Lepisosteus oculatus: one gene and its partner. The protein of the gene in region 1 purifies or fractionates together with the protein of each later gene. This does not show direct contact. Links are inferred from orthologs where the notes say so. Each region holds a gene or a part of one and is shown in the gene's direction. Other genes may lie near its edges.

Region 1 (7,100 bases):
AATTAATTAGAAGAGAATTAGTTTAAACCTTAACTGCTTTAATAACCACTTTCAGTCCAACTTTAGACTGAACATTGTGTGGTTTGCTTAATGTCTTCATCTTGCAACACTGAAAAAGAGATGTTGTTCTTTTTTTGTCTTTCCTAAGGCTGGTACACATTCTGAACTTCTGAAGAAAGGTGGACTGTACGCAGATCTGACTCAAAGACAGAGGACAGAGGGAAAGAAATGAATCTAAAGTAGCATAGTCTACAGAAGATTTTAATCAACAGTTGATCTTTGTCTTTGCCTTCTAAATCAATTTCTTTTCAGATCGATTTCACTTACTGACAGTTCATATCCTACAATCTTGTAAGAAATTATTGACCATGATGGGAAAAATCAGAGCAGTAAAATGTCTACCTGCTTTGAGAATGTTTGTCCAAAAATGCATTTTTCTTTTGGTTTTGAAATATCATTGGAAATGTTTGAAGATCTAGTTTAATGTAATCATGAAGTTAAAAAGTTTGTACAATACTGATTATAATTTTTGAACTATAAAAGAAGGTATATCCCTTAAAAGCAGACAGCGATGAAAACACTACAGGAGTTTGTCAGCAGTAATTTATGAAAACCATTGAACAGGAAGAATTATTGCTTGAGTTTTGCTTTATTTTTTTGGATAATTAAACTTGACAACTTTTTCAACCCTAAGAAGTTAGGTGTTGAGTAATTTTGGAAAAGTATAAAATGATTTCTCTGTTTCCTCTTTGACTTTGTATTACATTTACAGGACCATCGTGTTTAAAATACAGTAATGATATCTTGAAGGACGGGAAAGTATTCTACCTTAAGGAGTTAGAATTAGCATCTACGTCCACTTAATAGACCAATGACATAGTGTGTGTACAGGACCTTGCAAAAGTATTCAGACCCTTCTTGTGGTGTCCCATTTTGTGAAATAAAAATGGATGTACAGTATACACATTTTTTAAGCTCTAATTTTTTAAAAATCAGTGCTGATACAGCAGATGTTTAGGGTTAAGATAAGCTACTGTAAATGTCAGCAAAAACTAAAACAAATAAATCTTAAACATATTGATTGCCTAAGTATTCAGCCCCATGAATTCAATATTTGGTGGTAGCACCTTTGGCAGCAATTCTTTTGCAATTGCAATTGTTTCAATTATCCTGCTGAAAGATGACCTGTTATCCAATAACTTGTTTAAGTCTTTAGTAGATTAAGGCAGGTTTTCTTCTAAGATTTGCTTGTGTTTTGTTCCATCTATTTTTTTCTTCACTCATCACTGCTCATTTTGTTCTATCTAAGCTATTGAGCTGTGCAGTTCTTTCAAAGTTGCCATTAACCTCGTGGTAGCATCCCTTGCTCATCTACTCAGTATGAAGATACAACCTGATCTCAGAAGTTCTCTGGGTGATACAAGGTGCCTTCCATTTCTTGATGATTGAGAGACTTTGGATGAGACCTTAAACTTAGATCCTGATAATCATTATTGTTGTTGTTGTTGTTATTATTATTACATTAATAATAATAGCTCACACTTATATAGCACTTTTCTGGACACTCCACTCAAAGAGCTTTACAGGTAATGGGGTCCCCTCTACACCATCACCAATGTGTAGCCCCACCTGGATGATGTAACAGCAGCCATAGCAGCCACACATCAACTATTAGTGGGGAGGAGAACAGAATGATGAAGCCAGTTCATAGATGGGGATTATTAGGAGGCCATGATTGGTAAAGGCCAAATGGGAAATTTGGCCAGGACACCAGGGTAACACCCCTACTCTTTTCAAGAGACGCCCTGGGATTTTTAATGATCACAGAAAGCCAGGACCTTGGTTTTACATCTTATCCAAAAGACAGTGCCTTTTTACAGTATAGTGTCCCTCTCAATATACTGGGGCATTAGGACCCACACAGACTGCAGAGCAAGCACCCCCTGCTGGACCACTAACACCTCTTCCATCAGCAACCTTAGTTTTTCCAGGAGGTCTCCCATCCAGGGACTGACCGGGCTCACACCTGCTTAGTTTCAATGGGCTGCCAGTTGTGAGTTGCAGGGTAATATAGCTGCTGGCCATTAAACGATCCTGTGGCAATCATGGTAGGATCAGGGTGTTAACTCATGAGCCCCAGCTCAGTTCTACTCTAGGCTTACCCAATACAGCCTACCACAACTCTTGATTCAATTAGTAGAGCTATTTTTCAGTTTTCCTCTTGATATGTTGGGTGGCAGTGCTACTGGAATTTAACAGATGTGGACTTCACACAGGTGGGTGCTGTTGCTCTGGTGGTTAAGGTGGATCCTTTAAAGTGAAAAGGGCTATATAAATGCAGTTTAATAATTATATGTTTTATTTTACTCTGTTGTGTCTATACTATTTTATTCCAAATGTTAGAGTTACAATCAGATGTGTATTTTAATATAGTGCAGTTTTCAAATTTTAATCTGAGAAAAAGCATTCCATTTTCTTCTTCTAAGTATAGGTGGTGTGAATATAGACTTTTGGTAATGCAAGTACATACTTGTATTAGATTATGAGTTTACAGAAGTCTGTTTAGTACCTCAATTAAAATACACGTGCTATAGTACTATATTATTATTAACTATAGTATTATAGTTGTCTAATCTTGATTAAATAAAGACTTGTATAAATCATTTAGTATTGGACAGGCAGCGAAAGTGTTTTAACAGCAGTGTTACATGGTTGGAAGAAGGATTATACTTCTGCTATTGTTGAGTGGAAAAAATGAGTGCGGGGCCAACAGGTATCAAGGACAAAGTTGACTTTAATTTTGCAGAGAATGGCCAATTGATGCATTATCTATCCTTGGTCTCTGAGCTTCCTTACATTGAGCAAAGGTCCTTTCAGCATACGCGCTCGTTATTTACCACACACTCCTTAATTACTGTACCACACAGTTCAAAGGCGCCATCATTGTGACACTTCCACCTCCCTTAAGAAGGAATCCTGAGCCCTTTCTAGGAGAGATTGTTTAGTCCCAGTTAGGAGAACTCAGAAAACAGTTCAAGATGGAAAAATTGAGGAGGACACAGGTTGCAGCCGTGGACCTAGGAGAGGATGTGGACACCAGGGAGTCTCTAGCGAGCAGCAGAGGAAGGCTTCTGTGTTGTCTACTCCTCTCCCCCACCCAAAACTGGACATAGACAAATCAGGGCAAAGGGGAACATGAGAGACCACAATGTTCAGGATGGTTGGAGTTGAAGAGGACGCCAAAGACCATCGAAGGATTACAAAGACGTTCTTCGCTGTAGTGGAAGGAGGCACTCCCAGTCACCGACTTAAGCTGGTTTTGGAGAACAGTGATCCTGGACAGATCCATCTTTTTTGGGTCCATCTTGTTCATATGGTCTATGAGTGTGTGTCCCTTGGATATTCTGAGTCATGGGCTGTGTGAGATGGATAGCTTGATAGGCTGTAATAAATTGGGATATAATGTAGGATTACTTATGTACACTGGGGTCGATGAACTGGTTCTAGGTTGAAAAAGACAGTGTTGTGGGGGATAAGGGTCTTAGCACCCATAAAACTTGGAGGAGTCACCAACTGTCAGTGTTACTGAAATGTTTCAAATAACACGAGAAACAAAAGAAACACCAATGTTTCTGAAGTACATCAAAGGGGTTTATTTCAGTACCATCAATTAATTTATCAACTTTGTTAATATTGGAAACCTACAAATGTATTCATTTTATTCCAAGAAAGATCTGTTGCATCAGTATCTGAATATTAGACGAGCATTTGTAAAGTGCAGAAACCATGGTATTTGTTTCGGAGTCTGTTGCAAGTAAAAAGGAGTGATCATCACAGTAGCGGATGGGAAATCATTGCTTCGTTGCTTGTAGAGAACCAGGGTTGTACCAACAAGATGCAGTTTTAACTTCCATTAACTGTTCTATGTGACAATGAAATTCCAAAGAATTTAATAAGATTTAGCAAAAAAAAAAATGTATGTACACGGAAAATGTACTGTATGAACAACACCTTTGCCAGTCCGTCACATTCGCTGTCGCTTGTAGTTCAGGGTGGTGACAGATTTTGTAGTCATGCAATTCATTTTTCTGCCAATAGATGTCTCAGTTTGTTGTAGTCTTACATTCAAAATTTATTGCAAAACCTCCCTTGAAATTAATCCTGGGAGAAAACAAAACATACATATATATAATTTGAACAGAAAATGCAGAAATATGAGAAACTTGAGAAGATTGGAGAAGGTAAGAGACAATGCACATTTGTTAGATCAGATATATGTAGTTGTGCGTTTTTATTGTTTTGTGTGCGATGAAACCCTGTTAATTCTTCTTGTAGTCAGTTTATTTAAATCTCCGTACGACTGTGGCCTACGCTGCCATCAGAAGCCCCGGGCCTCGCGTAAAAGCTAATGCGGAGTTTGGGCAAAGCAGGTTGGTTACAGGCAATTCTTTCTGATGGTCATTTTCGTGATTCAAAGGTCGTCGGTTCTTATTTATCGACGGGAATGAATGAAACTATTCTTAGCTTTTTGTTTAAAATTTATAATGACATTTCATCTCACTCTGAATCGGTAAGATAACATTTTTCGTTTGTTTGATCCGCTGTTTTGTGGGCTGTCAATTCAGCTTTAGATTATTTCCATTTAAAATTATCTGTAGAATCTTTTTATATATATAGAAATATAGCTAATCCGCTCCTTTTTAGCATTATATTAATGATTTTTTAAAACCTGTCCTGTGGTAAAAGATGGTAAATTATTAGCGCTTTATTTATTTGTAATTAGCCTGAACCGCATTATAGCAGATGTCTTTATTATCTTAGTTAGTATAAATGTAAAATAATATCCTAGTAGTTCTATTATTTTAAACCTTTTTCCTGAGGCCCAAGCGTAGTTGGACTTAGAGTGTAACTGATGATAACAAAACGCATTTCTAATATAAAAAGATGATTAAATCGGTATAGAAGCAAGCAATGTTGTTTTTCAAACTGTTTTAAATGTTGAGTGCTTTTAATTGCCACTATTTCATCTGCTAAAATCTCGTCTAATGTTTGTTGAACAATATGTATATACTGCATCTATAATCATAATGAATTGTTCTGCTCGTCTAAAGCTATTAAACTAAAAATTCCCACACATGAAATGTTTCCATGGGAACCGATATACTTCGGGATGTGTTAGTAACCTGGGAAAGTTATTGATATAATACTATTAGGGGGGACAGTTATCAAACAAGATATATCTGCTTACTGACTTGTCTCTTCCGAAACAAATAACACTTCAGAATTCGTAGTTTTACTGTAGTTTTGGCATGAAGAAAACCTACAAATGGGCACGGACAGTTATCCTGTACATACAAACGTAAGAAACTGGAAACTTTATCTCGGTCTCTCGGTCGTATATTCTTAAAGGAATACGCGATAAAAGAGAACGCCTGTGTATCCTTTTTAGTGTTCTGCCTCCGATGAAAACAAATCATCATTCTCCATAGCTTCGGGTATTGCAGCTGCCTATTTGTAACAGCAATCTCACGTGGCAATTAAACACAGCTGGTTTCACTGCATGCTTGTTTTATTTTGATCTCCTTCCTTACATGGTAAGGCTACCATCATGTTTTTCATTGCAATAAAAGTTTTCCCGTTATATAAATACTAAATTAACCAGATATTTGTTTTGAAGAAGCAAATACAGTTATGTATTCTGCCTTCAAGATATAATCATTATTAATAAACATAGTTCCCTGTCTCATTTGGAAGTCATTGTAAGATTACTTCCCAATTGATACTTCTACCCTTTGTTTCCAATTTTTCTAAAAGCAACTATTTCTTCTTTGTCTTTTATTTATATTCATACAGGTACATATGGAACAGTCTTTAAAGCCAAAAACAGAGAAACTCATGAGATTGTAGCTCTGAAAAGAGTACGGTTAGACGACGACGATGAGGTATGAACTGGTTATTTTCTTTTCTAGTGCATACCAAGTGAGGTACTGAAAATTATCATGTGTTTTCTCTCTGGTAAATTTCATGATAGATTCACAACAGATTATTTGTTACATTCAGGTGCTATTAAGAGTTTAGACAAAAGCATAAAATTTGCTGTGTGATGCAGTTACAATTAATTTAATAATAGAATTACAAAACTCAGAATGCAGTTTGAAACTTTATCCATAGTGACTTAAATTTACCATGTTTATACATATTATGCCTCTTATGTATTAGTATTATGTCTCTAATTTTTCAGGGTGTTCCAAGTTCAGCATTGCGAGAAATTTGCTTGTTGAAAGAACTAAAACATAAAAATATAGTTAGGTAAGTGGTTTTTGATTTCTTCAGTTATTAACTGGCATGAAACAGACTTGTTTAATGGTGTTGTGTTGAATCATGTTTGTATCTGAAGCTTGATATTGGAATGTAAATTATGTGGTGCTCCTGCAGGTTTGTTTGTTTCTAGGTAACAAGAACTTATCATTTTGTGATTCTTATAACATTTAAATTGTTGTTTGTCTGACATTCAAATTCTGAATGTATAGAAGTTGTAATCATACTGTAACTTAACATGTAGCTCCTCTCAGATTCTGAGGTGAGCAACACTCATTGAACTACAATTAAGAATGCCTTTCTTAATTTAGCAGGCCCAGATTGGCCGATATATATGTTTTTGTGACCCAATGCTTCTGATCTCTAGTTTGAATACCTCTTACAAGTCAGGGGACTAGCTGTGGGACCTGGGTTTGTAATGTAATAGATGTTATAGGGTAACTGCAGTATATTTTTCTATCTAAAGTATATTCACTTGCAATTTAATGATAACACTCTTAGCCTTTCCCTGATTTAAAAACACATATATATACTAAAACACAGTGGCTGTTCAACCGCTCTACCTGCAAAATATGCAAGTACTAAAATTATAGATAGAAACTACAGTTCTTGTAGAACTTCACTAGAAAAATGTTGTTGTTTAAAGGGGAAAGTGAAGTAATTGTAATACTGTATGTGGGATAATATGAAGAATAAACCATTCAAACAATACCACAAACTCTATTTTAAAAGAATTGGGTTTCAATTCAACAACTGCACAAAACATAATGTAAATCAAACTG
Region 2 (7,832 bases), on another chromosome or scaffold:
TGCACCATCAAAATTTTACCATATTAAACTGTATTGAGAAGGTTTATTTCTGTTCTGGTTATTTGTTGGAAATGTCTTAGGCTTATGTGTAGGCCCAAAGCTCTCTAAACCTCTATGATTACCACAGCTTGAAGAACTATTTTAACTAACTTTCTTGTATCTTTAATAATTAATACTTCTATTTTGTGGAGTGGTTTTAGCTGTACCATAAAATATTTAAACAATATTGTTTTATTCTCAGCTTTTTTTTTGCATATTTTGAATCTTGTGTTATTAATCAAAGCTGAAAACTCAAAACAATTCCAAACACTAATATATAAAGAATTGTAATTTATCCCTGAAACAACTCAACATAATTTTTCAGTCTCTAATGTCCAGCAGTATGACAAAGTATATTGAAAATGATGATATACAACCTCCAATCAATACATACTGAGAGCATCTATTTACTATCTATCCAATAAAGTAGATTTAAAAAAGCAGTGGAAGTTCAAAGGTACAAACACAGCTTATGAAGTCCAAACTATCAGTCTGATTAAGAAATGTTGGCCTTCTTCCTTATATTGTCAATATTGCTAACACTTTTCCTGTTGAATTGTTTGAATTACCACAGAAACCCTGTTGTAACCAAAAAGAAAATACAAAGCAAATCACATAGGCTCGCCTTTCAGCTGGGTCTCGTAAAACAAAAACATGATCCCAACATGGATAGAGACAAAAACTTAACATACTACAGTACCTTCACTGATAAACAGGATAAAACAGTGAATACACACATTTTGAAATATACATTACTATTATAAATCAATTGTATTAAAATACAAACAAGTGCAACAGTGTATCTTGCCAGTCTGTCACTGTTACTCCTCATTTTCTGAGTAGAGACAATTTTGTTTGAATACAAACTGTCATATTAAATGTTCCAGAACAGAAAGTTTCTCAAAGTAGGAGGGACCTAATTTGGCTCCATTTGAATTTGTGCCTGTCAAAATTAAACTAACAGCTACATCTGAAAATGACAATATTATATTTGAAACAGATCAAAATGAATGACTGCAAGCTGCCAATGCCAACAAAGCACTGTAGCAGTGAAAAATTATTTAAAAAACACATGCTCGCTAGAGAAGGCAGGAACTACTCTCTACTAGAAGCTGAGAATGAAACTCAGTAGGCACAGAGCAGCACAGTATTCTGACACTTGATTAGAAATCAGTAGAGTTTCCAGTTCAGGAGAGAAGATGCTTTGTGTTAAACATTACAGGCACATTTTGGGTGAAAGTTAACCAGATACAATAATCTATCATGCCATGGTTTATTTATACAGTATGTACTTCAATAAGGGTCCAATAACAAAAGGATAAAGGCAATATTAATTCACACTGACTTACCTTTAGGAAGTCAATCCTAAGGGTGAGGTAAAACCAGGGCCAGCCTTGTTTGCCTTGCTCTCCTACAAACAAAAGATCTGACAGCCAACTGCTGTCAGCACTCATAAGTTAAGACCAGAGATGGGTAAAGACTGCATATTGCTACTAACCGTCCTTTCTCTGGTGTATTTCTAAACTCTAGTCTCCCTTCTTTGTGGGTGAGCTTTAGATTTTGTCTTCGGTTTTTGATGGGAATGCCCGTTTATGCTCACAAGGATGTCTTGAGAGAAACCTTCTCACGAAGGGTGCTTAGCAAGCTCTTCACTGCACACAGTCAGTCGCCTCCGAACATGTTCACATTGAGATAGCTTACAACACAGACAGCGCTTGGCAGCTGAGGGACGTTGTCGGCATGCCCCTGTCTGTCAGTTGGGTTCCAATTAAATTGCTCAGATGGCATGACTCTAGACACGAAAAATGCCTCCAGCTCCAATCAGCTTTGAGTGACATAGTTGTGCTGGACTGAACGCAATAACTCTGGAATGATGCAGTGTACCAGAAAGAGGCTGCCTAATTACTTGGGCACAACCTTAACCTTTGCAGTGCAATGCTCCCTGCTGACGCATTCGGCATATAAAAGAAAAGGACCAGCTGGATAAAAATGTTTTTTTTTTAAATAAAATGTAAATTAATACTACATAGAGGAATGGGCTAACAGAAGCATTGCCTTTGACATGGTATGATGACCCAGAAAAAAAACAAACTGAACATAAACAACAACAAGAGAATATAAGGCAAGTTCAGATCAAACAGATGCCACAGGACTCATCCATGTCCAGTTGATTTGATGCATGGACAATCCAGACATGTAATAGTTGCTACAGTAGTTAGGAGGGAAAAAACACTCCACAACTAATCCTCTGATTACATTGATCCTCATGACTGCATCACATTTCTTCTTCAAGTGTCTTGCCGTTTCGTTTTAAATAATTCAGTGTTATGTGCCATACTTAAAAGCTTTCATGTTTGCTGTAAAACTCTTCCTTCTCCCTTTGTTCTGAGGTTGTCTTTCTTCCAAGGCTTTCCTCTCTGGAACCTTTAAAAATAATTCTCCACTGCCCTCCTTGTGCTACAGTATATGCCTTTTTTACAATGTATAGAGCAGGTTCAGAGTTTCCATAACATGATAATTTAAGACTAAATTAAGGTTATAGACCACATACTGTAAATAGATACCAAACGGCAGTACCTAGTGAGAATGATGAGAATACGACGCAATCCAGAGAACTCCGCTCTTGCAGACAGACTTGTTTAGCATAGTGTATTGACTTCAGCAAGCACTAAACTGAAGATACTGCTGAGTTCAGAAAACATTTAGGATCATTTACACATGACCAGAGCTGGGCAGTGTTAACCTTTACTACCAAACAGTCAGAAATTACAATGTGTAACTATACATGCAGTAGTGAAGAAATGGTGGCATAGTGGTTAGTATTGCTGCCTCAGGGATCCAGGATAAATTCTGGTTGCATGCCATCTGCAAGTTCATGTGGATTTTCAACAGGTGCCCCAGTGTACTCCCACCTCCCCTCGACATGTTGGCTAGGATTGATTGGCTACACTAAATTCTCAATTTATGGTGCCGTGCTAAGGAGAGTGCAACAAGTACTGGTTAAGTGACTATAGAAAGAGAGAACCAAACGAGCTCAGTGGGCTCTCATTTGTGACCTTTTCTGCTGTGTTTAATTGACTGTTACCAATGTTGCAAGTGCTACCTTTAAATCCAGGTTAGGTGTTTTATGACAAGGTCCATGGTCCTTTGAATGGTCCACCAGTTCTAGTTGGGCCATGAGTCACTGGATATGTACCTACAGTACAAATAAAAATTACACTAAATCTGTTTGAGAGTGATGTCTCAATTGACTGATTGAAGTGATTATGTGCATAAAATTAAGTTAATACTCAAGATCATTGACTCATCAGCCTGCATCTTATCCTAGTTATTATGCCTTTTATATGTATTTATACAGTATGTAATACATGACACCCCTATCTCACGGGAATCATCAGAGATACCACTCTTTTAAAATATTGTCCAACTTCACTAATTTAAAGTCATAGATTATCATCAGGCAATATAAAATACAGATTTTAAAGAAGAAAACATAAATTAAATCAAGAGGGTACCCACCACGACATATTTGCTTAATAATGGCTAAAGCACTTTTCTCTAAGGATTAATATATAAGTAGTTCAGGTGGGTAGCTGCATCAGCATGCGCAATCTGCAAAGGAGCAAGTAATAGGTTTATTCCATGCTGAAAAGAGAAGAGAGAAAACACAACACTTCGGCAGTGGAGCCTTCTTCAGGTGTCATCATGTGCCACACTTTACACCCGAAGAAGACTCCACTGGCGAAACGTTGTGTTTTCTCTCTTCTCTTTTCAGCATGGAATAAACCTATTACTTGATCCTTAATATTGTAACGCAACGGGGGCTCCGGCGGGCGCCCTTGCCGCATTAGGTCGGCCCCTGCACCGTCCGGGGCTCGAACCCGGGACTTCCGCGTCTCTCTGCAGCGACCTAGCCCCGTGAGCCAAAGAGAGATCTCTCCACAGCCCAGTAGCTGTGGTCCTGCTATCACAGGGAAGGGCGGTGACGTCACCCGCTCTGGTACGCCGGCTCTTACACAGCGCCTGTCGGCCGTAAGCGTTACACTCTCCCCCGCTTAAATCGCCGTCCCCGGCGAAGGGCTATCCCATCCCACTTCTGACACCAATGTAACGCAACGGGGGCTCCGGCGGGCGCCCTTGCCGCATTAGGTCGGCCCCTGCACCGTCCGGGGCTCGAACCCGGGACTTCCGCGTCTCTCTGCAGCGACCTAGCCCCGTGAGCCAAAGAGAGATCTCTCCACAGCCCAGTAGCTGTGGTCCTGCTATCACAGGGAAGGGCGGTGACGTCACCCGCTCTGGTACGCCGGCTCTTACACAGCGCCTGTCGGCCGTAAGCGTTACAATATACAAGTGTTTCATTCCTTGTTACAAATACAGCATATCACCCATTATTAACAAAATAGTTTACCTATTATGATTGTGATCATATTCAAAATGTACGGTGAGTAGGGACACCTTTCAATGAATACACATATGGACGTTTAAATTATAAGAAAAGCTTTGAAGATCACTAAAACAATTTAATAAAATAATACACATGGCATTGCTCTTTTAAAATTACTTGTATGCCTTTTTAAATAACGTTTTTTACAAGAATAAAAAATATTAATAATGATGGAAACGAAGTAATCACGAGTGTAATCTACCATCAACAAAAACAGGTAGATGTTAATCCCATGATGAAAAGTATACGAGTTGACGCACATCCACAGGTTCAGCCCACTACCAGCTACAGCGATGAACTCGATACTCGATTTACTTTTCCTGCTCCGCCTTTGCTCGTAGCTCGATTGTTCTGACTCTCCGCACACGCACCGGTTCTTTTTCTGTCTGTACCGGGGAGCAAAACCACTTGAAATATGGCTCTTCACGTACCTAAAGCTCCGGGCTTTGCCCAGATGTTAAAGGATGGTGCAAAGGTAAAGAACATTTAGTCATCTGTTTTGAAGATTAACCTATGTATGACCTTTTATGTCCAATTTTGTATCAATTGCAAGGGAAGTGCGGTTGGACGCTGTGTCATGTGGGACACTTCTAGAAAAAGCCTGTGTAGGCCACAGTTAGATTAGTTCATCCTATTGTGATATATAGCATTCGTTTGCTCGTTTTGTACGGGCTTTTTGAAATTGTAGGTTGTTGTGGCACGAATAACTCGTAAATCATAACTTATTAAACGATCTTGCAGCATATTTGTGTAATCAGTGCCTCTTTAAGCATTTTCTGTACTGTAGCTAAATGCAGTAAGACGAGGGACATGTGCTTTCTAACGGCAGCCGTAGTGGAAATCATTCATTGACGACACTCCGTTTTTACCCATACATGGAGATATTTCGGGAGCTGCCATTCGGTGTTAAAACAGCTCTCGAACAGGAATGTAGCTAAAATCCGTAGTATTATTATTGCTAACGCTTTTGTTCATGGAGGAACAGTTAGTACCAAGCATACGCCAGTTGATTTTCATGAACTGAATTTTCCGAATTCAGACTAATTCGGATTTATAATAGAGAAGGGCTTGTTTTAAAATCGCTAGACGCTTCTGTACTTCAAGTAACAATTGTATATACAACACAAACGTATTCGGCATGATGCTACAGGGCGTTGCCAGGCAAAGTTGCCGTAACTGTTGTCAATTCTACAGCAGTGTCGCGGCAGTAGACTCGAACTCAAAATTGTAATTGAATCTATGGTAAATGCTGGGCTTATTGTTTTATCACTGCTATTTCTGGAAGCATTGTTGTTTAACGTTAATGCAGTCTGATCACAGGTGATAAAGATGGCACAAGCAGTACAAAGCCTAATTTGATTTAAAGTTGTTACTCTATGTAAAATAAATAATTTACAGGAATACATGCCTGCAGCCATACAGTAGTTTGTTTATACACACTTTCATGCAGTTACTCTAGTTCAGGAGACAGCTATCCAAATGTTAACATCAGAAATAATTGCTTGACACATGGCAGATGTGTTCAGGGGGCTGAACTACCTCTGTGTGGAAGTGAACAATATATGCTTAGTACTGTTAGGTCATCATTGGTTCCATAACCTGTTTTAGTGGAATAATTAGGCTCCATGAACACGGCACAGTCTGTATGGAATGTCCCATATACAACAGTATAGACATAGCTCTTATTTGCAGTACTTCCCAAAACAAATATTGTATTGTTAGTAAATGTTATGGTGATGACAGTGAAAGGAGTGGCATTCACAGATGCAGGGCAGACCAGATCAATTTTCAGTTAATCATTAGGCTAGCTGTTTTAAATAAGTTGTTTTATTTTTTAAAACCTGTTCATTTCAGCACTACTCTGGGTTGGAGGAGGCAGTCTTCCGAAACATTCAGGCCTGCAAAGAGCTGGCACAGACCACACGGACAGCCTACGGTCCAAATGGTAGGTCTGGACTGTGCTTGTCAATATCAGATGTTTGATCAGTGCCCAATACAATATTACAATAGAGGTTGAGTCTATTTTTTTATGAGATTCTGTGATTTAAGACCTACATGGATAATGAATAATTTTGAAATGTTTTTTAAATAAGAGATGTGACTGGGTGTACTACTACTGATTTGATATTTTCAGGATGTGTGTTTAATGCTATAAGCCTACAGAAAAGTACACATAAATATTAATCTATAGGAATGCAGAATTCTGTTTTTTAATATCTGGGCCTTTTTACTTCTTTTCAGGCATGAATAAAATGGTCATCAACCACTTGGAAAAGCTCTTTGTCACTAATGATGCTGCAACTATTCTGCGAGAACTTGAGGTATTTAGTTCATTTTTGAACCGCCTTAATTCCTAATTGTTTAACTAGTGTTTTGTGAGAAAAGCCGAAGACAGAGATCAGCAGAAACTTTTAATTTCTTAATGATGGATCTCCAACTCTGGTTATGTGGAACCCAGTCCAAAAGTTTTTATGGGTAATATTCCTAAAGGTTTGGAACAATTTATCTATGATCAATTAACAAGGCGGTTGACTTAATTAATTTAGATATCATTTTGAACAAAATCAGAATATCTTTTAGCCTGTAAGGACCAGTATTCCTTTTTTTAAACCTTTACTGTCTATGTAGTACTTCACCCTGTGGCTTAAATATTTTGTACTCTAGCAGAGAGTGTGCTACTGCTGTCTCCATCATTGTATGTCAGGCTAGGAATACGTAAAATAATATATGAATAAAATAGGTAGTCTTCATGCTATAGTTGTAAAGGCAGAGGAGTTGTAATGGTGAAATCTAAAAAAAGACAGGGATAGTACCCATGAACTGTAGAATAGTGCCCATCAATAAGACAAGTGCCCAAACCGACCCAAATAATTATAGATCAATTAGTCTGAATTCTATTACATGTAAGGTTATGGAATTAGTTATTAGAATTAACCTAGAGGATTACCTATATGGAATATAGAGTCCTTTGAACAAGTATCAGAATTAATGAAACACATGGAGCATATAATATTTAGATTGGTAAATTTAGATTGTCAAAAAGCTTTTGATAAAAGTCCCCATTGCAGGAGAAAGGTATTCAGTGACATGTGTACAGTGTGAGAATTGGAGAAGAAACAAGGTGCATAAGATCTTTTTTTTGTTTGTTTGTGCACCCACCAGGTTCAGCACCCTGCAGCTAAAATGATCGTCATGGCTTCCCACATGCAAGAGCAGGAGGTTGGGGATGGGACCAACTTTGTTCTGGTGTTTGCTGGGGCGCTGCTGGAACTGGCAGAAGAGCTTCTCAGAATGGGACTGTCAGTGTCTGAGGTGAGCCTGTAGAATCACTCACTTTCCACTTCAGTTT

What was found.
Region 2: the proteins of cdk5 (region 1) and cct8 purify together in Homo sapiens (affinity purification with mass spectrometry; 3 studies listed by BioGRID and IntAct, with this or other methods). This does not show direct contact. The link is inferred for Lepisosteus oculatus from reciprocal best matches to the Homo sapiens genes CDK5 and CCT8.

Annotation. Positions count from the first base shown.
Region 1 is NC_090701.1:30,515,592-30,522,691, forward strand, and holds the start of cdk5 (cyclin-dependent kinase 5), read left to right. Parts: upstream 1-4,087; 5' UTR 4,088-4,204; coding exon 4,205-4,241; intron 4,242-4,341; exon of another isoform or gene 4,342-4,408; coding exon of another isoform or gene 4,409-4,430; intron 4,431-5,853; coding exon 5,854-5,942; intron 5,943-6,241; coding exon 6,242-6,309; intron 6,310-7,100. Other genes in the region: abcb8 (mitochondrial potassium channel ATP-binding subunit), read left to right, coding at 149-232. UniProt on the Homo sapiens protein: Proline-directed serine/threonine-protein kinase essential for neuronal cell cycle arrest and differentiation and may be involved in apoptotic cell death in neuronal diseases by triggering abortive cell cycle re-entry. Interacts with D1 and D3-type G1 cyclins.
Region 2 is NC_090700.1:19,416,066-19,423,897, reverse strand, and holds the start of cct8 (T-complex protein 1 subunit theta), read left to right. Parts: upstream 1-4,812; 5' UTR 4,813-4,898; coding exon 4,899-4,958; intron 4,959-6,337; coding exon 6,338-6,428; intron 6,429-6,724; coding exon 6,725-6,804; intron 6,805-7,645; coding exon 7,646-7,795; intron 7,796-7,832. UniProt on the Homo sapiens protein: Component of the chaperonin-containing T-complex (TRiC), a molecular chaperone complex that assists the folding of actin, tubulin and other proteins upon ATP hydrolysis.